Macaca mulatta: one gene and its partners. The protein of the gene in region 1 purifies or fractionates together with the protein of each later gene. This does not show direct contact. Links are inferred from orthologs where the notes say so. Each region holds a gene or a part of one and is shown on either strand. Other genes may lie near its edges.

Region 1 (2,770 bases):
GGACCCTTCTATGGGTTCATCAAAACGAGACTTGTGACTGTTTTAAGAGACTCATGATCACATCACAGGTTTCTGACTTTATAATTTCTATTTAAATAAGTCGACACCTTAAGAACCTCCCAGAAAGTGGAAAAGTGGTATACCCAGACTGAGGAAGTCTGATTCCAAAGTCCATGATTTCTTACACCAGCTTCACTCAGTTGAACAATCTGCATTTCACTGTGATACTACCAAACTACCACCGGATTAAGCGTGGGTAACAGCAATTGAGTTAATGTAACTTAGAACTTTTATCATTAATAAAAGTGCTGTACCAGGTTCAGGAAATAGTTCTTTACAAGTGTTTAAAAAAAGGCCAGCTACAAAGTGCAACAGTATTGCTGAAAAGCAAATCTAGTAATTAACTGCAAAGCTGGGTACTACTACTGCCAGGTGTTTTCCACATTCAGGAATTCACACCAGGTAAGAGGCCTATACGCAAATAAATAAATAGAGAGAATGGGGAGAAAAATCACATTTATTAGTTAAAGACAACCACAGGCTGGACACAACACACATGCTAAAAAGTGGACTGTCTTTTAAAACTTCCAAGGTAAATAGGTAAATTTTTTCCACAGCCCCACAATCATTTCATTAAGTACAAATTAAAAGGCCCACGGTTAAGACATTAAACAGTAAAATACGTAATAAATGCTCCAACCTACCCTCTCCCCCGAAAGCTGCTTCTAAGTTTAAAACCATGAATTTGACTAACCATGCCACTGAAAACCATCCAGGTTACTAGAGGCTGAATGAGTTTTCAATGTCTGAGTCCTAGAAATATCACTCCCTACCCCAACCCTAGCAAATTCTAACTTTACATTTGACATAAGGCATTAACATCGATTAAAGCCTCAGTTTAATAATCAGAATTTAAATGAAGTCTCCTGAAGACTTCTCTTCTGGCAAAACCATGTATCAAACTCTGGAAAAACATTCAGACCCACTTCTAGCTATTACTGAAATAAATGATTAGAAAGTTAGGTTGGTGAGCCAAAGTTAAACCTAAAGCTATCCCCTGGATCTTTCTAGCAATAAACCCATGTTGAACCTACCATGAAAACTTTTATTCACTGTGCTTTTGGTTATGTTGCCTCCTGATTAGTCATTAATTTTAATGAGGTTTTTTCCTTGTGTTGAGTATGAATAGACCTTACAGTTTGAAGATCTCTAAAATTCCCTGAATTATTGGAAAGACATTCATGACTCCCAGCGTGACTACAGTTAAGAGCCCCAGGGAGCCTGTGAAGACTAGAATCTACAAGTAACCTGCACTGAGAACGTTGTGCAAACTCAATCAGTTAAGGAGACTCAAGTTTAGCTCCTGGCCATCTTAAAGAGCGAATGTATGTCTTTCACAGGTTTGTTCAACATTTCAGTAATTCACAGTATAGCCAAGAGCATGAGAATAAATCTCTTGAAAAAAACCAGTTATTTGGAGCTTTTTAAATTATAAATTTTGCCAAAGTCATCCACATTCTCACATTACATAGATGACTTTGTATCTATTTCACTATTCTCTCATTTAACCATACTAGCAAATAAGGAAAAGGCTATATTAAATGACTCCCCTGATGTTGGGAGCTGACAAAGCTTTTATGCAATGTAGCCTATAACTAAAAATTCACCTAAATCAGTTCATTGACTCCTGCAATATAGTTCATTGTAAAGGGCCTTCTGATTCCCCCTGCCTCCCAAATTAAATAAAAAGGAGCAGTCATTTGTTTTCATGATTAAAAACAAAACAAAACAAAAAAAACCAGACCATCTAAGCAAAGTTTTACATAACATTATATATATAAAATAAAGTACAATTTCCACTTAATTCAGTCTTCAAATATTTTTTATTGGAAGGCCATGCATTGCCTTCATTTATTGTATTTCAAATCACTGTACATTTACTTTTGTGAAAACACTGCCTGCATTTTCTAGTACAAAAAAAACCTAAAAATTGTTTCAGGAATGTAGAGAAATATCCAACTTAAATAGCGAAAAAGTGCACCATAATTACTGCTGCACTGCAGTCATTTCTGCAATTCCCATGTTTCTTAAATAACTATCTTGTCAGATAACACACAATATAAAGAGCAATTATGAAAAACAGACATTTACATATACTTCTAAAGTCTTATTGAGAATATCCTGTTGGCATTGGATAACCAATCATAGGTGCGGCTGCAGTAGCAGGATATGCATATGCCTGTTGGTTCATACCATTGTGCATATTTGGAACATTACTTCCGTATTGCTGAGTGCTATCATAACCATTCTGGTAAGTCCCTGTTGGATTACCAGTCCTAAAACTGGTCTGTATACCAGCAGACACAAAATTACTTCCAAAGCTCCCATTAGTGTAATTTGCAGCACTGTAAACACCATTCTGAGTTTTTGCCCCAAAATCTCTCTTTAGCAGGCTAGAGTAACCTCTGTCATAATTTTCCCTGTCTCTAAAGGTATTAAATCCACCCCTTTTGCCCGCAGAGTATCTGTCCCGACGGTCATCCTTCATGCCTCCTCTACCCCTGGAACGACCTGTCAAAAAAAAAAAAAAATTGCAAATTGATCAATTATGTCTATGACACAAATCATTGTGGACAGAAAGAATTAGATCTATTCATTGCAGGCGTGAAATGGTTTTACAGTTTTTCAACATAAGTTTTCCGTTCAAGGTTTTACTCACCCTCCAATACCATTTAAATGGATTTGTAGACAACGATGTGACTCACAACTA
Region 2 (3,984 bases), on another chromosome or scaffold:
TAAAAATTAGCTGCTGTAAACACTAAATAGGTAATGAATATATTATAACTACTTAGTTTACCTCAGTTTGTGTACCTATGAAGGAAACTGAGTGGTGTACATGACTCATACAGTATTTGAGTAGATGTATTGTGATGAGGGTATGATTAGTTTTACCTTTATTTAATCATTTTAGAGTTAAAATAGCATTCACTATGTTTTACTGATTTCAGTAATTGTTAGAGATATCTCTTGTGTATAATAGTTGATTTAGTCTTTGATGATAATAAGTATGAAGAAAGTATTTTCATATGGTATTTGGAACACAAAACCTGCTTTCTATTGACAATGGGTTCGGACTATCTTTAATGGGTGAAATTTTCAGTTTCTTTTTCTTGTTCATCTCTCCTTCCTTGAGGTGATGGGAAGCAAGACAAAACACTACTAAAATCTTTTTTATGTTACTGGGAAGATAGATCCAGAATGCTTAGTGACACAGGCATGGTTCTTTTTTGGCATGTTTGGTTGGTGGGATACTACCACCTCTAATTTGAGCATTTTTTGGTTTTGTTTTTTGCCCAGGGTGCTGCTTTTAAAACAGGCTTTCTAGAATCTCTGACTCGTTTATAGTTAATCGGCTTGCTCATTGATGATAGCTAATTAATGAGGCAGTATTGTTCATAAAATTCATAACTTGTCCAAGATCACAAACTCAGTAATAATCTGGCTTTGAAGTATGGAATCTTATCTGTTATACTGTTACACTCTTATCTGTTAATGTGTGGCGTCTGAAATTTTTACTGGTATAGAATGCAGATAACTAATAATTTTATGCTTTCCAAATATTCCTCCTGACTCAACTGGTTTTAAATAACTGGTTGTCCTGATGGAAAATATTTATAGGATGGTTTGCCAAGGAAGCCTATTAAATTATAAAATATCTAGTCCAGGAACTGGGAGTCACCAGGATGGTCGGGGCAGAGAGTAGATGTTTCATTTTTTAATTTATGCCAGGAAGCTTTTGTAAACTTGTTTAGTTGCTTTTACTGAAGCAGTACAGGGAAAATTGCAATCTTGAGGACTAGTTTCATTTTTGTCTAGATACTTATAAATCACTAATAGCTCGTTATAAATAGAACATTTTTTTATGTGTGCCCAGAGTGGGGAGAAAGGTATAGGGAAACAAAAAATAAAATATGAGGAGGTGACATTTTGTTACTGAGTACCTGAACCTTTTGATGTATGGCAGAGGTTGTTGGGTGGAACAACATGAACAAAGGGCTAGAACATGGAATGTTTGATTACTGCTTTCTACGTAATTGCTTGAGTCTTCATTAGTCCAGGCCTTTTCTGGCTCTGTACTTTAAACTGTTCAAGCAAAATACATTTCGAGTTAAGCATTGTGAGGGAAACCTAGGTTTTTTTGTGTTGGTATCTTGAATTTTACAGATAATCTCACTCTGTAACCTCATTTGTGCTTCAGATCCTTGAAATTTTTGTATAAGAACAGTGTAAGACCTGTATGTTGTATGCTACATGTTTATTTAAAAATTCTAATCCTGAAAAGTTAATCTTTGGTTCGTATTAATATTGGCATTTTTCCCTGGTATGGATTTGCTTCTTTGGTGTGGATTTGCTTCTTAGGTATGGCTTATCTTTTAAGGAGTTAGTTATTTGGAATTAAGGAGCAGCAATAGGTGGCAGCCCTTTTACCTTTTAAAATACAGTATCAGGAGGTAGGTTTTGTTCTAAATGTCATTTACATATAAAAAGATAAGGTCTAGGGAAACGTATTTTCTTTGTGTTTGTGTTTAACTTTCTGGCTAGATTCACCTTTTGGCCATTTAAAATAATTGTGCAGTAAATTATTAAGTATATTAAATGAGTCAAGTATGATAGCATGCACACTATATAAAACATATAGTTTTATATCATAAAATAAATTAATTTTTCAATTTTTTATAGGCTATGGATGAAATGAATGGCAAAGAAATAGAAGGGGAAGAAATTGAAATAGTCTTAGCCAAGCCACCAGACAAGAAAAGGAAAGAGCGCCAAGCTGCTAGACAGGCCTCCAGAAGCACTGCGTGAGTCTACCTTTTAGTAGATATGTCTTTGGACAAGGAATCTCCATTTGATAATGGAGATTGGATTAATAAAACACAATCAGAGTCTTGAAGCAAACTGATTTGTTTTTTCTTTTCTCCCTTCCCTCCTTTGCTAGGTATGAAGATTATTACTACCACCCTCCTCCTCGAATGCCACCTCCAATTAGAGGTCGGGGTCGTGGTGGGGGGAGAGGTGGATATGGCTACCCTCCAGATTACTATGGCTATGAAGATTACTATGATGATTACTATGGTTATGATTATCACGACTATCGTGGAGGCTATGAAGATCCCTACTACGGCTATGATGATGGCTATGCAGTAAGAGGAAGAGGAGGAGGAAGGGGAGGGCGAGGTGCTCCACCACCACCAAGGGGGAGGGGAGCACCACCTCCAAGAGGTAGAGCTGGCTATTCACAGAGGGGGGCACCTTTGGGACCACCAAGAGGCTCTAGGGGTGGCAGAGGGGGTCCTGCTCAACAGCAGAGAGGCCGTGGTTCCCGTGGATCTCGGGGCAATCGTGGGGGCAATGTAGGAGGCAAGAGAAAGGCAGATGGGTACAACCAACCTGATTCCAAGCGTCGTCAGACCAACAACCAACAGAACTGGGGTTCCCAACCCATCGCTCAGCAGCCGCTTCAGCAAGGTGGTGACTATTCTGGTAACTATGGTTACAATAATGACAACCAGGAATTTTATCAGGATACTTATGGGCAACAGTGGAAGTAGACAAGTAAGGGCTTGAAAATGATACTGGCAAGATACGATTGGCTCTAGATCTACATTCTTCAAAAAAAAAAATTGGCTTAACTGTTTCATCTTTAAGTAGCATTTTGCTGCCATTTGTATTGGGCTGAAGAAATCACTATTGTGTATATACTCAAGTCTTTTTATTTTTCCTCTTTTCATAAATGCTCTTGGACATTATTGGGCTTGCAGAGTTCCCTTATTCTGGGGATTACAATGCTTTTATGGTTTCAGGCTTCATTTTAGCTTCAAAACAAGCTGGGCACACTGTTAAATCATGATTTTGCAGAACCTTTGGTTTTGGACAGTTTCATTTTTTTGGATTTGGGATAGATTACATAGGAGTATGGAGTATGCTGTAAATAAAAATACAAGCTAGTGCTTTGTCTTAGTAGTTTTAAGAAATTAAAGCAAACAAATTTAAGTTTTCTTGTATTGAAAATAACCTATGATTGTATGTTTTGCATTCCTAGAAGTAGGTTAACTGTGTTTTTAAATTGTTATAACTTCACACCTTTTTGAAATCTGCCCTACAAAATTTGTTTGGCTTAAACGTCAAAAGCCGTGACAATTTGTTCTTTGATGTGATTGTATTTCCAATTTCTTGTTCATGTAAGATTTCAATAAAACTAAAAAATCTATTCAAAACATTACCTATTTCAAATTCAATTGTGTCCTAAAACATTATTTTATTCGTAATCCTTGCAAGGAATATTGTTTTCAAAGTATAACTGCCTATGTGAGTGATCAAATTCATGCAAAATTTCTTGTCTATTCCAACATGTATTGTGGATATTAGACTGAGGATTAGTCTAAATTCAAGTATTTATTCCAATTAGCACTTCATTGATTGGTGTTCTCTCATAGTCTCTTCTAATTTTGAAATTTTATCTTTTATTTTTAAAAAAAAACAGGTTCATAGACTTTTGAGCATTCTTGCAGGCATTGGATAATTTGTGTTAAAACAAATAAAATGTGGCTGGGAAAGCAGACTGCAATCTATTTTGACCCACATTCTTTATAAGGGATAATTTGTGACTGAAGACCTTATTTGCTGGATAAGTGAATGTACATACAGGGAAAACTGTTAGTACTGTGGCGTCAATTGCACTGCGGACTTTAGTTTTAGTAAACGTGATTGTGACTACCA
Region 3 (3,500 bases), on another chromosome or scaffold:
TCTCAAACTCCTGGGCTCAAGCGATCCACCTGTCTCAGCCTCCCACAGTGCTGGCATTAAGTGAGCCACTGTGCCTGGTCTCCAAAAACTTTTTAATTATGAATTAAGGGATGATAAACCACAACTACTTTGGGGTTTTTAACTTTATTCACTTTGAAGAGTTGGTGCAATCAAATGGATGAAATATAAGTTTAAAAGTTTGGAAATCAAAACCATTATTACTGGAGTATTTAATATACTCTGTGTATTATGTAAAACATTCAGCTTTATAATGGCTTCTTTAAGCTCACAGGAGGTATTTTAAAGCAGTAGTTTCTATAGTATATTTAAAATATGGTTGTGATTAAAATATGTTTAAAAGTTGGAGAGAGTATGTTTCTATACTTGAGATGAAATTTACTGTATTTTTGTTTTCTTTAGGTTACCTTGTACGAATGTCATTCACAAGGAGAAATCCGGTTGTTGCAATCTTACGTGGATGCTGATGTATCCTTTCCTGGGTTTTTAATATCTTTGGTCAAAGGAATTTATTTTCTTTTTTTTTCCCCCCCGAGACGGAGTCTCACTCTGTCGCCCAGGCTGGAGTGCAGTGGCCAGATCTCAGCTCACTGCAAGCTCCACCTCCCAGGTTTACACCATTCTCCTGCCTCAGCCTCCCGAGTAGCTGGGACTACAGGCACCTGCCACCTCGCCCGGCTAGTTTTTTGTATTTTTTTAGTAGAGACGGGGTTTCACCGTGTTAGCCAGGATGGTCTCGATCTCCTGACCTCGTGATCCGCCCGTCTCGGCCTCCCAAAGTGCTGGGATTACAGGCTTGAGCCACCGCGCCCGGCAGGAATTTATTTTCAATAAGTGCACCAAAACTTTTATAAATTAATCAATTCCCTAAAGTTAGTGTCCTTTCTTAACCTATTTCTTCACTATCACCCAAGAGAATCCAGGTATCTAGTTTTCCTGACCCTTAGAAATCCATTGTGGTATGTGTCAACTCAGCTAGGCAAAAAGAAAAAGAAGAAAATCCATTGTGGGATTGATGTGCTGGTTGGGTGCAGATGTCTAGAGAGATAGGAGCGTTAGAAATCTAGTAATAGAAAATGTTAGCAAAGACTGGTTAAAACCTCCTTTTTCTTTGACCTTGTCTAGAATATATCATTTCATTGTAGTTATAATGATGAACTTGGGTTGTGACTGGTAGTCATTCCAAGTATTTGATCAGTGAAGCCTAGGAAGAAAAAAAAAGTTTAGGAAAAATAAAATATATGCATATTATATATATATAATATATAAAAAATAAAATAGGAAATAACATATTGCAAAACAGGTTCATAAAGAAACAGAAAAATTTGAAAAGCCCAAGAGTTAGAGCAGTAAAAGCTAAATAATAGGATATTTCTTCCAGATCAATTTGAAAAACCTAGCAAACAAGGCAAGGCAAGGACATTCAGTTTTCTCTGAAAGATACTAAAATGTGACCTGTTGTTATATTGAGAATATCTCACAAAGAAAGAAGTGGAAAACTGAATTGTTCTTATTTAGATATTTATAGACGTATGGGGATAGAGCAGAGGTTAAACTACAGCTTGCAGGTTGGCCACCTGTTCTTGTAAAGTTTTGTTGGAACACAACCGTGCCCATTCGTTTGTATATTGTCTGCAGTTATTTTGGTACTACAACTACAGAGTTGAGTAGTTGTACAAGCAGCTAAAGAGTAAACAAAATTGAGTGGAGAGACTAATTTTGTTTGATCATTTGTTATGGATTTTAGACCTCAAATTACCATTGTATATATTTGGTTGTATAAGGAAAATTGAAAACTTTTGTGTCAAAACCTTTAGCAGTTCTTTGTAAATTTCTATTATAATTATTGACATGTTTCTTTTTCAAAAACATTGTGTTTCTTAACTGTGGAATTTCTTAGGCTGATGAAAACTTTTACACTTGTGCATGGACCTACGATAGCAATACAAGCCATCCTCTGCTGGCTGTAGCTGGATCTAGAGGCATAATTAGGATAATTAATCCTATAACAATGCAGTGTATAAAGGTGGGTTTTTCTGGTTGAATTGTAGATCTGCTTCTTTTGAATCCACAACTGTAAAAGCTTGTAATGTTAAATTTAAAACTAATGGTATGAATGTAACATTTCTGATTTGATTTGTACTTTTCTTACTGCTCTCTTTAGATGAATCTTTTGAGACCTTTGTCACATTTGGGTAATGTAAATTGAGGAATAAGTGGAGAAATGTTAATATTTGTAGTGTTTTCTTTTTAAATAATTTACCTCCTTCACCCTTGTCTTGGTTTGCCTTGAGAGGCTCTAAATGAACAATAAGAGCGAGTCCATTTTCCAAGACACCTAAACTGGAGGGGGGTTGTCAAAGGGACTTTGTAAGGAACATAAAGATGAAGCCTAGGAAGTTGATAAGAAGAGAAGTTTTTCAAATCACTTTCATCAGCTGTTTTTAACTGTGGGGACACATCAGAATCACCTGAGGATCTTTTAAACCCTACACATATTGGAGCCTCCGCTAATCCGATCAGAATATCTGCAGGTGGAGTTTTGAGCATCTTTTTTTTTTCTGCTTTTTTTTGTTGTTGTTGTTCTTAGACAGTGTCTCACTCCTTTGCCCGGGCTGGAATGTAGTGGCATGATTATAGCTCACTGCAGCCCGTCTCCTGGGCTCAAGTGATCCTCCTGCCTCAGCCTCTCAAGTAGCTGGGGCCAATTTTTAGTTTTTTTTGTGTGTGTGTATGAAGACAGAGTCTTGCTACATTGCCTTGGCTGGTCCTGAACTCCTGACCTCAAGCGATTCTGCCTTAGCTTTCCAAAGTGCTTGGATTAAAGACATGAGCCACCCACTGTGCCTGGGCCCCCTTTTTTTTTTTTTTTTCCTTTTCACTTCAAGTTTGTTGGTTGATTTTGTATGCAGCCAAGGTTGAGAACCACTACTTTAAGTGAAACTATTTTTACGTTCTCTAAAGATTTATGAAAAAGAAAGTACTGATTTTGAGATGGGAAACTTGAAATGTTTTAAATTTATTGTAGCACTATGTTGGCCATGGAAATGCTATCAATGAGCTGAAATTTCACCCAAGAGATCCAAATCTTCTCCTGTCAGTAAGTAAAGGTAAGAGAAGCAAATGTTTCTTTAGTCTGTGCAGTTTGTCAGCATTAAGATGGAGTCACTAATGTCAAGAGAACCTTGACAAATAGGAAAAGCCATGAGAAGAGAGTTCACATGGTTGTATGTCTGATCATAATAACTCACAAAAAAACACAGCCACAACCTTGCACAAAGGCCATCACAACCTTACACAGAAAATACTGCCAGTAAGTGCCTTTCCACTCTCAGACTGGCATCACCCTTGTTACTGATTTTGTGGCCAATCTTATTTCAAAACAATTATGTAATCCTTCTCATTTTTTTTCTTTAAAAACCTCTGTCTTTCCTTTACCTCTTGGAAAACACACATAATTTACTTTGGCATGTACATTCTCA
Region 4 (2,544 bases), on another chromosome or scaffold:
ATTGATAAGCCAAGGTGTTGGACATGAAAATGAAATCATTTTTCTTTTATTTATTTATTTTTTTTGAGATGGAGTCTCGCTCTTTCACCTAGGCTGGAGTGCAGTGGCGGGATCTCAGCTTACTGCAAGCTCCACCTCCCGGGTTTACGCCATTCTCCTGCCTCAGCCTCCTGAGTAGCTGGGACCACAGGCGCCCGCCACCTTGCCTGGCTAGTTTTTTGTATTTTTTAGTAGAAACGGGGTTCCACCGTGTTAGTCTCGATCTCCTGACCTCGTGATCCACCCGCCTCAGCCTCAGCCTCCCAAAGTGCTGGGATTACAGGCTTGAGCCACTGCGCCCAGCCCATTTTTATTTTTTAAAGTTAGCTGGGCATGGTGGTGGGCGCTTATAATCCCAGCTACTCAGGAGGCTGAGGCAGAAGAATCACTTGAACTCGGGAGGTGGAGGTTGCAGTGAGCCGAGATCGTGTCACTGTACTCTCCAGCCTGGGGGAACAGAGTGAGACTCCTCAAAAAAAAAAAAGTTTAAGACTACCTTCAGTTCTTACTTCCCCAGTCTATATAACTGCACTGCATGTTCCGTCAAGTACAAGTGAAACTAGACTAGCCAAATTAATAATGGTCATTTTTGTTCGTTCGTTTGTTTTTGGGAGACAGAGTTTAGCTCTTGTTGCGCAGGCTGGAGTGCAGTGGCACGATCTTGGCTCACAGCAACCTCTTCCTCCCAGGTTTAAGTGATTGTCCTGCCTCCGCCTCCCGAGTAGCTGGGATTACAGGCATGCACCACCACACCTGGATTTTTGTATTTTTAGTAGAGACAGGATTTCACCATGTTACGCTGGTCTTGAACTCCTGGTCTCAGGTGATCTGCCTGCCTCGGCCGCTCAAAGTGCTGGGATTACAGGCCTGAGCCATTGTGCCCGGCCTAATGGTCATATTCTTCATGAAGCAAAGGAAATTTTGTAGTGGCCGAGTTTGGTGGTTCACGCCTGCAATCCCAGCACTTTGGGAGGCCGAGGCAGGAGGATCACAAGGTCAAGTTCGAGACCAGCCTGGCCAGCATGGTGAAATCCTGTATCTGCTAAAAAAAAAAAAATACAAGAAATTACCTGGGCATGGTGGCGCACACCTGTAATCCCAGCTACTCGGGAGGCTAAGGCAGGAGAATTGCTTGAACCTAGGAGGCGGAGGTTACAGTGAGCTGAGATCCCGCCACTGCACTCCAGCCTGGGCGACAGCGAGACTCCGTATCAAAAAAAAACTCTCATATCTTTCTTGATTCTTGTGAGTAGTAATATTTTTCTTTTCTATTCTTGATGTAGATGACGGTGGATATTCCATGAATTTTAACATGAGTTCTTCCAGGGGACCACTCCCAGTAAAAAGAGGACCACCACCAAGAAGTGGGGGTCCTCCTCCCAAGAGATCTGCACCTTCAGGACCAGTTCGCAGTAGCAGTGGAATGGGAGGGAGAGGTAAATGTTCCATGTATGACAATCTGTGCTACTACTGTAACAAAGAATTGAGAGGTAAATGATGCTTAAAAGTTTAATTGGCTGGGCGTGGTGTCTCATGCCTGTAATCCTAGCATTTTGGGAGGCCAAGGCAAGAGATTGAGACTATCCTGGCCAATGTGGTGAAACCCTGTCTCTACTAAAAAAATACAAAAATTAGCTGGGCATAGGGTGGGTGCCTGTAATCCCCGCTACTTGGGAGGCTGAGGCGGGAGAATTGCTGGAACCTGGGAGGCGGAGGTTGCAGGGAACCGAGATGATGCCACTGCACTCCAGCCTGGCAACAGAGAGACTCCCTCTCAAAACACACACACGCACACGCACACGCACGCGCACGCACACACCCCCCTAGCTTTATTTGTGGAGTCTGGGCGCGGTGGCTCACACCTGTAATGTTGGTACTTTGGGAGGCTGAGGTGGGCGGATCACGAGGCCTGGAGTTTGACGCTAGTCTGGCCAACATGGTGAAACTCTGTTTCTACTAAAAATACAAAAATTAGCCGGGCACGGTGGAGGGTGCCTGTAATCCCAGCTACTCCGGAGACTGAGGCAGGAGAATCACTCGAACCCAGAAGGCGGAGGTTGCAGTGAGCCGAGATCACAGGACTGCACTCCAGCCTGGGTGACAGCGAGACTCCATCTCAAAAAAAAAAAAAAAAAATTTTGGTCATGTGTTCTAGGTGATCTAGATAAATGGAATTAGCACTGAAAAAAATTTAAAATGTGAATCGGAAATTCTAGAAAAAATGAGATGATCTAGCCTCCGTAATGTCATCTTTGAAGTCAGTCTCGTTTTCATAGCCTGAATGTAAGTTCACGTTTTAACTTCTTTCTCTGACTGTGTTTAAAAAAAGTGATGTAATTTTCCTTAAGCTCCTGTATCACGTGGAAGAGATAGTTACGGAGGTCCACCTCGAAGGGAGCCACTGCCCTCTCGTAGAGATGTTTATTTGTCCCCAAGAGATGATGGGTATTCTACTAAAGACAGGTAATAGAAAATTGCAGCTTTTTAAATTAATAATTAAGGTTG
Region 5 (3,500 bases), on another chromosome or scaffold:
TTGCACTTCCTCTGAGAGTGGTCGTGAAGAAAAGGTTCAGGTGACTGGGGTGAAAGGTGCTGGCTTCCTGTCGGAAGGAGATTCTGATGTCCCTTGCTATCCCTGTCCTGCCTCACCCTGGGTCGTGAACCCCAGACTGACTGGGACTTTCTGCCAGCAGGAGGCCACTGTCTGCAGCTCCCGTGAAGATGTCCACTCCAGACCCACCCCTGGGCGGAACTCCTCGGCCGGGTCCTTCCCCGGGCCCTGGCCCTTCCCCTGGAGCCATGCTGGGCCCTAGCCCGGGTCCCTCACCGGGCTCCGCCCACAGCATGATGGGGCCCAGCCCGGGGCCGCCCTCAGCAGGACACCCCATCCCCACCCAGGGGCCTGGAGGGTACCCTCAGGACAACATGCACCAGATGCACAAGGTAGGGGCCCCTGCCCCCTAGGGCTGCAGGCAGCCTCTGGACCGAGGGCCTTACTCAGAGGACGGGGGGGAAGCCTTCTTGTTGGAGGTGGCATGCCTTGGCTCAGCCCCCTACGCCGGGGCCCATGGCCGTGAACAGAGGGGTCAGCTCGTCGGACTCCAGCCTGTGCTGGCACATGATCTGGGCCTGAGCAGCACATCGTGGCCCCTGCGGACACCTGCCCCACCGTTTCCGCTCCCTTGCTTTCTGCGTGGGAAATTTGGGAATATCACTCCAAAGTTTTCTTTTGGTAACGAAGAAAAACATCCAAATTACTAAAAAGGCTTTTAGCCACGTTGTTTCCCCCGTTCTGGCTGTCGAGCTCACCTGTGCCGCTCGCAGAGCCGAGCAGCGGGTGCCCTTTTCTCCAAGGCGCGCCCCTCAGCCACTCTCTTTACCACTCACCTGCGCTGAGCAGGACCTTCAGTCAGCGAGGCGGAGAAGCCTCTGTATGGTCACAAGTCTCTTGTGTGTGTCCCTGGGCATGGTTAGAGGACATATTCTCTTATACATACAACATCTGAAAGAAAAGGTCGTATTAGCATCCATAAGAAAAGTGATGTTTCTAAGTGTCGGGGCCACAGGAGGTCCTGGGTGGTGGAAGATGAGGATTGCCTGGCCACAGTCTCCCAGGTGCTCGTGCTCCACTGGGTGACATTTATTTTGTGTACCTGTCTTGAGGCCTAAGTAGGTGTCAGAACCCTGCCTTAGAGCCAAGCCGTGTAGTAACGCTGGGGACTGGGGAGATGCATGTTGTCATAGGTGGCCATTCTCAGTGCCCTCGAGCTTCTCTTGGGCAGCGCATAGCCGTGCCACCACCTCACGTTCCACATGCTCACCCTGCCTTGTCATGGTCCCTCTCGCAGCCCATGGAGTCCATGCACGAGAAGGGCATGTCGGACGACCCGCGCTACAACCAGATGAAAGGAATGGGGATGCGGTCAGGGGGCCACGCTGGGATGGGGCCCCCGCCCAGCCCCATGGACCAGCACTCCCAAGGTACCAAACTGCTTTCCTTCCTGTCTTGTGTTTGTCATACACCAGAGTCCTCAGATCATTTTCTTCCCCTGGGTTCCCACAGGATGGATTCCGGGAGTACCTAGGATGATTTAGCCAGGTGGGTGGCCTGCCACAGAGGGCTGTCTGGCGTGGCATGGCTGGTGCTCTGTTCTGGCCACCTCGTCTTGGAGCAGCCCCAGAAGGGGAAGTGCTGGTTGGGGGGCAGACCGTATTCAGCATGGGTGATAGAGGACGGCTGTGCAGGGCAGCAGCCCCATGCCACTGAGGAACTTACTGAAAATACAGATTCCTAGGGCCTGGGACTCTGCTTTAATGAGCCCAGCAGGTGCCTTTTCTGTACGAGGACAATTGAGAAGTGATATGGTGGGTGACTTGCCAAGTTCTTGCTGTCATCAGGGGTGGGAAGCTCAGGGGCTCCACTGGGAATGGAAATGTTGGGAGCGGGCCCAGCCAGCCCGAAGATGTGGACCCCACCTGTGGACAAGCAGGCGGAGGCCGGGAGAGAGCCGTGATTTCATGCACAGGTTCTCAGCATTAACCAGCAGCACCTTACTGAGACGTGGGTTAAACCAAATCCACCATGCCGGCTACTGGGCTGAGGTGTCTCCAGCGCGTGCCCTCCAGGTGCCCCTGATTGACTCAAGAAGGATGCCATTTGGTCGTGCCCTGTCTCAGAGTAGGAGCTGGTGTAGGGAAGAAGTTGTAAAAATCACAGACGTAGGCTGCCTAGTGACCAGTGGGCTGGCCTTTCTCTGCAGGTTACCCCTCGCCCCTGGGTGGCTCTGAGCATGCCTCTAGTCCAGTTCCAGCCAGTGGCCCGTCTTCAGGCCCCCAGATGTCTTCCGGACCAGGAGGGGCACCGCTGGATGGTGCTGACCCCCAGGCCTTGGGGCAGCAGAACCGGGGCCCAACCCCATTTAACCAGAACCAGCTGCACCAGCTCAGAGCTCAGATCATGGCCTACAAGATGCTGGCCAGGGGGCAGCCCCTCCCCGACCACCTGCAGATGGCGGTGCAGGGCAAGCGGCCAATGCCTGGGATGCAGCAGCAGATGCCAACGCTACCTCCACCCTCGGTGTCCGCAACAGGACCTGGCCCTGGCCCTGGCCCTGGCCCTGGCCCCGGTCCCGGCCCGGCACCTCCAAATTACAGCAGGCCTCATGGTAAGGCTGGCTGCCCTGGCCCTCAGGTGTCTCAGAGTGAATGGCTGGGGCGTGAGTGGAGGAGTGGACAGACTGGGCTCTGCTGCCAACTGGGTTCCCCGGTTTGGGATTGCACGGGCCCATGCTGCACTTCTGGGTGCTCGGGTGGTGGGGGCAGCTGTCCTGCTAAATGCTGTTTCCCCAGCTCCCTGCTTCCCCTGGGGGTGCTGGTTAATAGGTGTATCTGCTGTGTCCCCTGAAGCCAGGGCTGCCCACGGGGCTGGGCGCAGGCATAAACCTGGGGAGCACTATTTTCTCTTTTGTTTGTTTCTCCCTACGTGTAGGTATGGGAGGGCCCAACATGCCCCCCCCAGGACCCTCAGGCGTGCCCCCTGGGATGCCGGGCCAGCCTCCTGGAGGGCCTCCCAAGCCCTGGCCTGAAGGTGAGCTCCCTCTTCTATGGTGGTGCACCCATGCCCTGACTCCCCGTTGCAAGCTTGGGTGGCGCAGGCCTTGAGATGAGCCCTGGCAGGGAGGAAGGGCCAAGGTGGCCAGCCCGAACCGCAGCCTGCACTTTTCTTGTGGTGGTCCCCAGGTCTCCCCTGTAGCCAGTCAGTTCCCAATGACTGTCATTTTATCCCATCCCTCGTGGCCTTCACCCAGTCCCTGAGCCCTGTATATGTGGTTGCTCAGTAAGTGCTGCAGGCTCCCATCTGGTGGGCTCAAAGAGACAGTGGGACTCATTACCCACCCTCTTGGAGCCTGAGGTTTAGCGATGGGCATTGAAGGGCAAATTGCTTCCGTTGGATTTAGCACTGGGAGGAGACGACAGGAAATGCTGCTGTAGAGCCACAGACAGAACACTGAAGCCTCAGGGGTGTGGGGCTGG
Region 6 (3,497 bases), on another chromosome or scaffold:
CTCCAACTCAAAAAAAAAATAAATAAATAAAGGAGAGCAAATTACCAGTGAGTGGTGTGTTACTTGGGTTTTTAATAGGCATCTTATTAACATGTTCCAACTTGAGCCCTTAACTTTCTCCACCTACCCCCTTCCACAAACCTGTTTTGACTGTCTTCTCTGTCTTGATGTCAGCTTTGTCTGTCCAGCTGCTCAGGCTAAAACTTTTCTTTCATACAACACATCCTGTCAGCAGCTCCTGTTTGGGGGTAGGCATTTTGCCTGTTTTTTTTTTTTTTAACTGCTATATCTCTAGCACGTAGAACAGTGCCTGGCAGCACATAGTTGGTGCTTAATATGTATTTGTTGAAAGATCAAGTCAGTGAGTATTTTTAATGTGAGGTGCAAAGAGAAAAAAATGTATCTTTGAGGGGTGGAGTTTTGAAGAACTTCCATTTTCTAAGTATTTGTGTAATGTTGGAGTTACTTGTTTCCTTTGTAATCTGAAAGTATGCTTTAAAAAAATTAGTGTACTTTTAAGTTGAGAATTTTCATTTTGCTTTTTATTCTTTCTTGCCTTGTGCCTGTTTATCTAGACTGCGGATCTTGGACTTGATATTGGTGCCCAGGGAGAACCCCTTGGATATCGCCAGGATGGTATGCGTCTCATATTTCTCGATTAACTCCAGATCAAGCTAAAGTTCTAAAACTTGATCAGAAGAGCTGGTTTGCTCATCTGGGAAACTAGTGTTGGCAGAAAAGTAATGGCTTCAATTAAAAGCAGTTCTTAAATTCCAGTCAGCAACAGTATCTTTAACGGAGCACAGGGAATTCAGAGCCACACAATGAATAGCAATAGGATTACACCACCAACAAATACATGCTACTACTAGGCCTCTGCAGTGTAGGATGTTACAGTTTACCTGGCTTTTTATTCTCTTTTTGGCCAGAGGACTCATAATACCTTTTGTCTACAAGCTACCCAAGGAAGACAGGAAAACTCCTGTCTCTAGGCTCAGATCTGGGGTGGGTTTTTACATAGTTGCATTATCAGGGTTTTCTTGAAAAGCGAATTCACATCTGGGTAATGAACATAGAGGATGGGGTAGACCAGTAACAGTTACAACTGTCTTACATTTATAACCTCATCTGCTTCTACCTAATTATGAAACCACTAAAGCGCAGATTCTTACTGTGACAAATAACATGTCAACCCTAAGATAAAATATGTTGAGGTTTCATTGAAATAGTGCCTTAACTTTCCTTAGTACTTTTGTTGGTGTCACTTGGACTTTTTGTCAAGATAGATTACACCTGCCAGACCTCATTATTGTCTTAATCCTCCTTCCCATGAGTTCTCATTGCCTAGGTGGTCACACAGTAGATTCCTGCTTCTCCTTCTTGGGAACCCCAAGTCTGACAGGGGTAAATGCAGTGTGTTCAGGGTTAGACTAATGATGTGACTAGGCCCTGCTGGTGTGCCTCTCTGATGGAAACAGACGTTATTTGTGTAGTCTCATGGGTGGTCTGGCACTGAGTAATTACTTGGCTAAAAAAAGCTAGAAGTTGAAGAGGCTAGAAAGCATTGTTTTCTGACAAGTTTGCTGCTGAACTTTGGATGCCCTAACCTCAGTGTTAATGTCTATGTCTGTTTCTCTCCTCTCTCTTTTGCCTTCCTTCTTGCCTATTTTGTTCATACCCTGACTCTTCTAGATCCTAGCTATCGTTCTTTTCACTCTGGTGGATATGGCCAGGATGCCTTGGGTATGGACCCCATGATGGAACATGAGATGGGTGGCCACCACCCTGGTGCTGACTATCCAGTTGATGGGCTGCCAGATCTGGGACATGCCCAGGACCTCATGGATGGGCTGCCTCCAGGTGATAGCAATCAGCTGGCCTGGTTTGATACTGACCTGTAAATCATCCTTTAGGTAAGAAGTTTTAAAAAGCCAGTTTGGGTAAAATACTTTTACTCTGCCTACAGAATTTCAGAAAGACTTGGTTGGTAGGGTGGGAGTGATTTAGGCTATTTGTAAATCTGCCACAAAAACAGGTATATACTTTGAAAGGAGATGTCTTGGAACATCGGAATGTTCTCAGATTTCTGGTTGTTATGTGATCATGTGTGGAAGTTATTAACTTTAATGTTTTTTGCCACAGCTTTTGCAACTTAATACTCAAATGAGTAACATTTGCTGTTTTAAACATTAATAGCAGCCTTTCTCTCTTTATACAGCTGTATTGTCTGAACTTGCATTGTGATTGGCCTGTAGAGTTGCTGAGAGGGCTCGAGGGGTGGGCTGGTATCTCAGAAAGTGCCTGACACACTAACCAAGCTGAGTTTCCTATGGGAACAATTGAAGTAAACTTTTTGTTCTGGTCCTTTTTGGTCGAGGAGTAACAATACAAATGGATTTTGGGAGTGACTCAAGAAGTGAAGAATGCACAAGAATGGATCACAAGATGGAATTTATCAAACCCTAGCCTTGCTTGTTAAATTTTTTTTTTTTTTAATATCTGTAATGGTACTGACTTTGCTTGCTTTGAAGTAGCTCTTTAATTTTTTTTTTTTTTTTTTTTTTGCAGTAACTGTTAGTTTAAGTCTCTCGTAGTGTTAAGTTATAGTGAATACTGCTACAGCAATTTCTAATTTTTAAGAATTGAGTAATGGTGTAGAACACTAATTCATAATCACTCTAATAATTGTAATCTGAATAAAGTGTAACATTGTGTAGCCTTTTTGTATAAAATAGACAAATAGAAAATGGTCCAATTAGTTTCCTTTTTAATATGCTTAAAATAAGCAGGTGGATCTATTTCATGTTTTTGATCAAAAACTTTATTTGGGATATGTATGGGTAGGGTAAATCAGTAAGAGGTGTTATTTGGAACCTTGTTTTGGACAGTTTACCAGTTGCCTTTTATCCCAAAGTTGTTGTAACCTGCTGTGATACAATGCTTCAAGAGAAAATGCGGTTATAAAAAATGGTTCAGAATTAAACTTTTAATTCATTCGATTGTGTCACTCTTTTTTTTTCTTGTCATTAAATGGTGAGGGTGGTAAGTTTATCCAACTCAACTTTATACTGAGGAAGATACATAGTGAAGTAATTTGTTATAGCGATAGAGAGGCCCTTCTCTAGATGCAATTTGCCAAGTTTCTTCAGCATTTGGCCCTGGGTTACATTGCACCCCCAAAAACGTGTTTCAGCCTTGCACATTGTGATTAGTTCTGGGCTTTTGTGGGAGAAAGCCAAGCAGACTGTCTATCATCTATCTCTCTCTACCCCAATCTCCCCGATGGTTTGATTCCATTAAGGTAATGAAATATTAACTACCTGGATTTGGATTTGAATCACCTTCACACAAGTGTGACTCATTGGGAGAGGGGAATTCCTTCAACTCTACTTTGAACTAATAATTAAATAGGTTTAAGTGATGATGTTTATCTGAACATAATCAGAACCAGAATGAGCCTTCCACACTATCTATCTGCCAGATGATCCTATCAGTCA
Region 7 (3,500 bases), on another chromosome or scaffold:
ACCAAAGGGGCCTGAAGAGAAGAAAGATTGTGAAGTAAGTGATTTTTTTTTTTTTTTTTAACTGGCATTTGAATATTGTTTGACTGGCACAAAATGACATTTAGAAGAGGTAGATGATTAGTCTGTTTACTTTGTGCTGTACATATTTCTCTTAAGTAACCATTGTTTTCCCCTTATGTTGACTGTTACTCTTTCCATAAACACAAATTTTTGTCCCTTAGTATAAGGGCTATGAAGACTTAGATATTTAAATTGGCCTTAATAGAACAATATTTAAAGAATTATTAGGTGGTGTCTAATGACATTTCATTATTTTCACTAGGTTGTGATGATGATTGGCTTGCCAGGAGCTGGAAAAACTACCTGGGTTACTAAGCATGCAGCGGAAAATCCAGGGAAATACAACATTCTTGGCACAAATACTATTATGGATAAAATGATGGTAAGTAAAATGTTCAGGGCCTCATCTCAGTGTTTAAAATAGACGAGGAGAAGGCTGGGCATGGTGGTTCACGCCTGTAATCTCAGCATTTTGGGAGACTGAGGTGGATGGATCACCTGAGGTCAGGAGTTTGAGACCCACCTGGCCAACATGGCAAAGGCCCATTTCTACTGAAAATACAAAAATTAGCCAAGCGTGGTAGTGGGCACCTGTAATCCCAGCTGCTTGGGAGACTGAGGCAGGGAGAATTACTTGAACCTGGGAGGCAGAGGTTGCAGTGAGTCGAGATCGTGCCGTTGTACTCCAATCTGGGCGACAGAGCAAGACTCTGTCTCAGAAAAAAAAAAAAAGAAAAATGATAGACTAGGAGGTATTCTAGGTAAACCTTTTGCCTTTGTCTGTATCCATTTTGTTAATATCTTAAGAAGGTGGGAGGAAAGGCAAGATTAAGTTGGTTCTTTAAGTAAGCTCTGTGAGGGTAAACTGCCTTCCGGTGGCTAGGCTTCTGTGTTTTTGAGCACAGGAGCTGCTAGTGTTTCTAGAAGCTAAAAAGAATTAAGTGTAGGGTGTAGGGTCTTGTTACATAGTTTAAGTGACCCTGTTTTTGTAACAATAATGGACAAAGGTAATGTATGTTGCCTGCTTTACATATAGATGAGAGTTGAATTTTAAAAAGCATAACTTATTAAAATTCACAAGTTCAAGGGGAAATTTTAACTTTTGAATATAGGTGGCAGGTTTTAAGAAGCAAATGGCAGATACTGGAAAACTGAACACACTGTTGCAGAGAGCCCCACAGTGTCTTGGGAAATTTATTGAGATTGCTGCCCGAAAGAAGCGAAATTTCATTCTGGATCAGGTATGCTGTAGCTTTGAAGATGAAAAATATTAACTGATAATTTAGATAGATTGGTGTAGAATTAACATTTAGGGTTGTAAACATAAATTTCTTTTTTTAAAGACAAATGTGTCTGCTGCTGCCCAGAGGAGAAAAATGTGCCTGTTCGCAGGCTTCCAGCGAAAAGCTGTTGTAGTGTGCCCAAAAGATGAAGACTATAAGCAAAGAACACAGAAGAAAGCAGAAGTAGAGGGGAAAGACTTACCAGAACATGCGGTCCTCAAAATGAAAGGCATGGAATTTTAATTTAATTCTGTTAAGTGTGTTAAATCTTTTTTTTTTTTTTTTTCCATGCATATTCTGCTTGTGTAACTTTGTTATATCTATTAGGACTTACTCCTCTGAAAAGTTAACATTTTTTCCAGCAATACTGCTTCAGGAATTACAATTGCACTTGTTAAATATGCATATATGTTTGGTCTATTTCTGTTTATTTTTAGGAAAATACGTTACTAAACCTTAATAATTTGTTAGCTTTAGGATTGTGGGGATTTGTGGTGGGTTTCTAAGTTAATAATACGACTTTGTTTCCTGCAGGAAACTTTACCCTCCCAGAGGTAGCTGAGTGCTTTGATGAAATAACCTATGTTGAACTTCAGAAGGAAGAAGCCCAAAAACTTTTGGAGCAATATAAGGAAGAAAGCAAAAAGGCTCTTCCACCAGAAAAGAAACAGAACACTGGCTCAAAGAAAAGCAATAAAAATAAGAGTGGCAAGAACCAGTTTAACAGAGGTGGTGGCCATAGAGGACGTGGAGGATTCAATATGCGTGGTGGAAATTTCAGAGGAGGAGGCAAGTTAATTTTGAGTGTTCTGTATTTAGTTCAGGATCGAAACAAATGATAATTTTATAGTTTGGATATAGCTGGTTTCTTCCTCATTAATGGTATGCTGTCACAGTAATTAGTATTCATGTAATTTGACAGTAAATACACCTAGGTTATGTTGTTAATGGTTAGAATTAAACATTACTTTTGTCTTTAAACAATTATTTTTGGAGAAAAAGGAACAATCTAGAGGAATCCTGAGTCTTCTGTATAAGTAGGGTACAATGCAATGAAACTAAAACATCCCTTGTTTTTTAGCCCCTGGGAATCGTGGCGGATATAATAGGAGGGGCAACATGCCACAGAGAGGTGGTGGCGGCGGTGGAAGTGGTGGAATCGGCTATCCATACCCTCGTGCCCCTGTTTTTCCTGGCCGTGGTAGTTATTCAAACAGAGGGAACTACAACAGAGGTGGAATGCCCAACAGAGGGAACTACAACCAGGTAATGATTAAAGATCCCTGGAAGCATGATGATATCTGTATAGCTTAATCTGGAAAGTTGTGAGCTTTATGTTGGGGTGTCTTAGTAGTCCATAAGGAACATGATAGGCATTGACATAAGGAAAATTGAACTAGTAATGGTGAAATGAGTCTACTTACTTTTGAGTTTTTTCAGGTGTACTAATTAACAAGTCAGATGCGTTTCTCATAATGAATAAAAAATAAAAACTAAGAAACCAGCAGAGGGTATCCAGAATTTGTATATTGCCCCCTAAGATTAGGGGCTAGCAACCTGTCCATTTCTGCTCCTCTCTCCCACCCCCGCAAACCTAACAAGCGATTGGGCCCAGAGCTCTTAGATCTGTTTCCTTTTTGTAGAACTTCAGAGGACGAGGAAACAATCGTGGCTACAAAAATCAATCTCAGGGCTACAACCAGTGGCAGCAGGGTGTAAGTAATTTCTTACGTGGTTTATGTACATTAATTGTATTTTGAGTTCCTAAGATTTATCAGTCTTGAAAAAGATCCTGTCCAGGGATTGAAGTGTTTATAAGTGTTAATAGGGTAAAGTGTGAATCGTGTTGCAGTAGTAGCCATAATCTACCTTTTGAAGGCAAAATAGGTTGAAAATTGCTATAAGTTAAATTTTTTTAATGAAGTAATATTATTTAATATATACAGTTCTTTTTACTGTTAGCTTTAATTGTGTAAACTAACAAATTCATGATGTGTTTCATTTTGTAATGTGTATTGATAATTATGGGATATTAAAACTAAATCTGGTAGAAATCAGAGGTATGACAAGTATAAATTTGTTTCCAGCAAATTACTCTGAATTAGATTCATTGTCATTTCCTAAAAACAGTTTGAGTGGCTTATTGATGTTTTTTCT

What was found.
Region 2: the proteins of DDX5 (region 1) and HNRNPR fractionate together in Homo sapiens (co-fractionation; 3 studies listed by BioGRID and IntAct, with this or other methods). This does not show direct contact. The link is inferred for Macaca mulatta from reciprocal best matches to the Homo sapiens genes DDX5 and HNRNPR.
Region 3: the proteins of DDX5 (region 1) and EED purify together in Homo sapiens (affinity purification with western blotting; 3 studies listed by BioGRID, with this or other methods). This does not show direct contact. The link is inferred for Macaca mulatta from reciprocal best matches to the Homo sapiens genes DDX5 and EED.
Region 4: the proteins of DDX5 (region 1) and RBMX fractionate together in Homo sapiens (co-fractionation; 3 studies listed by BioGRID and IntAct, with this or other methods). This does not show direct contact. The link is inferred for Macaca mulatta from reciprocal best matches to the Homo sapiens genes DDX5 and RBMX.
Region 5: the proteins of DDX5 (region 1) and SMARCA4 purify together in Homo sapiens (affinity purification with western blotting; 3 studies listed by BioGRID and IntAct, with this or other methods). This does not show direct contact. The link is inferred for Macaca mulatta from reciprocal best matches to the Homo sapiens genes DDX5 and SMARCA4.
Region 6: the proteins of DDX5 (region 1) and CTNNB1 purify together in Homo sapiens (affinity purification with mass spectrometry; 3 studies listed by BioGRID, with this or other methods). This does not show direct contact. The link is inferred for Macaca mulatta from reciprocal best matches to the Homo sapiens genes DDX5 and CTNNB1.
Region 7: the proteins of DDX5 (region 1) and HNRNPU purify together in Homo sapiens (affinity purification with mass spectrometry; 3 studies listed by BioGRID and IntAct, with this or other methods). This does not show direct contact. The link is inferred for Macaca mulatta from reciprocal best matches to the Homo sapiens genes DDX5 and HNRNPU.

What each region holds. Positions count from the first base shown.
Region 1 is NC_133421.1:74,397,691-74,400,460, forward strand, and holds the end of DDX5 (probable ATP-dependent RNA helicase DDX5), read right to left. Parts: intron 2,572-2,770; coding exon 2,168-2,571; 3' UTR 501-2,167; downstream 1-500. UniProt on the Homo sapiens protein: Involved in the alternative regulation of pre-mRNA splicing; its RNA helicase activity is necessary for increasing tau exon 10 inclusion and occurs in a RBM4-dependent manner. Binds to the tau pre-mRNA in the stem-loop region downstream of exon 10.
Region 2 is NC_133406.1:217,695,343-217,699,326, forward strand, and holds the end of HNRNPR (heterogeneous nuclear ribonucleoprotein R), read left to right. Parts: intron 1-1,944; coding exon 1,945-2,066; intron 2,067-2,203; coding exon 2,204-2,816; 3' UTR 2,817-3,484; downstream 3,485-3,984. UniProt on the Homo sapiens protein: Component of ribonucleosomes, which are complexes of at least 20 other different heterogeneous nuclear ribonucleoproteins (hnRNP). hnRNP play an important role in processing of precursor mRNA in the nucleus.
Region 3 is NC_133419.1:86,850,702-86,854,201, forward strand, and holds part of EED (polycomb protein EED), read left to right. Parts: intron 1-420; coding exon 421-486; intron 487-1,918; coding exon 1,919-2,044; intron 2,045-3,046; coding exon 3,047-3,128; intron 3,129-3,500. UniProt on the Homo sapiens protein: Polycomb group (PcG) protein. Component of the PRC2/EED-EZH2 complex, which methylates 'Lys-9' and 'Lys-27' of histone H3, leading to transcriptional repression of the affected target gene.
Region 4 is NC_133426.1:143,218,700-143,221,243, reverse strand, and holds part of RBMX (RNA-binding motif protein, X chromosome), read left to right. Parts: intron 1-1,322; coding exon 1,323-1,475; intron 1,476-2,387; coding exon 2,388-2,502; intron 2,503-2,544.
Region 5 is NC_133424.1:11,723,705-11,727,204, forward strand, and holds part of SMARCA4 (SWI/SNF-related matrix-associated actin-dependent regulator of chromatin subfamily A member 4), read left to right. Parts: intron 1-157; exon of another isoform or gene 158-160; 5' UTR 161-188; coding exon 189-410; intron 411-1,315; coding exon 1,316-1,448; intron 1,449-2,227; coding exon 2,228-2,632; intron 2,633-2,955; coding exon 2,956-3,054; intron 3,055-3,500. UniProt on the Homo sapiens protein: ATPase involved in transcriptional activation and repression of select genes by chromatin remodeling (alteration of DNA-nucleosome topology).
Region 6 is NC_133407.1:104,579,637-104,583,133, forward strand, and holds the end of CTNNB1 (catenin beta-1), read left to right. Parts: intron 1-575; coding exon 576-636; intron 637-1,692; coding exon 1,693-1,901; 3' UTR 1,902-1,913; exon of another isoform or gene 1,914-2,218; 3' UTR 2,219-2,997; downstream 2,998-3,497. UniProt on the Homo sapiens protein: Key downstream component of the canonical Wnt signaling pathway.
Region 7 is NC_133406.1:4,254,134-4,257,633, forward strand, and holds part of HNRNPU (heterogeneous nuclear ribonucleoprotein U), read left to right. Parts: coding exon 1-34; intron 35-322; coding exon 323-442; intron 443-1,172; coding exon 1,173-1,301; intron 1,302-1,403; coding exon 1,404-1,572; intron 1,573-1,877; coding exon 1,878-2,132; intron 2,133-2,424; coding exon 2,425-2,609; intron 2,610-2,986; coding exon 2,987-3,058; intron 3,059-3,500. UniProt on the Homo sapiens protein: DNA- and RNA-binding protein involved in several cellular processes such as nuclear chromatin organization, telomere-length regulation, transcription, mRNA alternative splicing and stability, Xist-mediated transcriptional silencing and mitotic cell progression.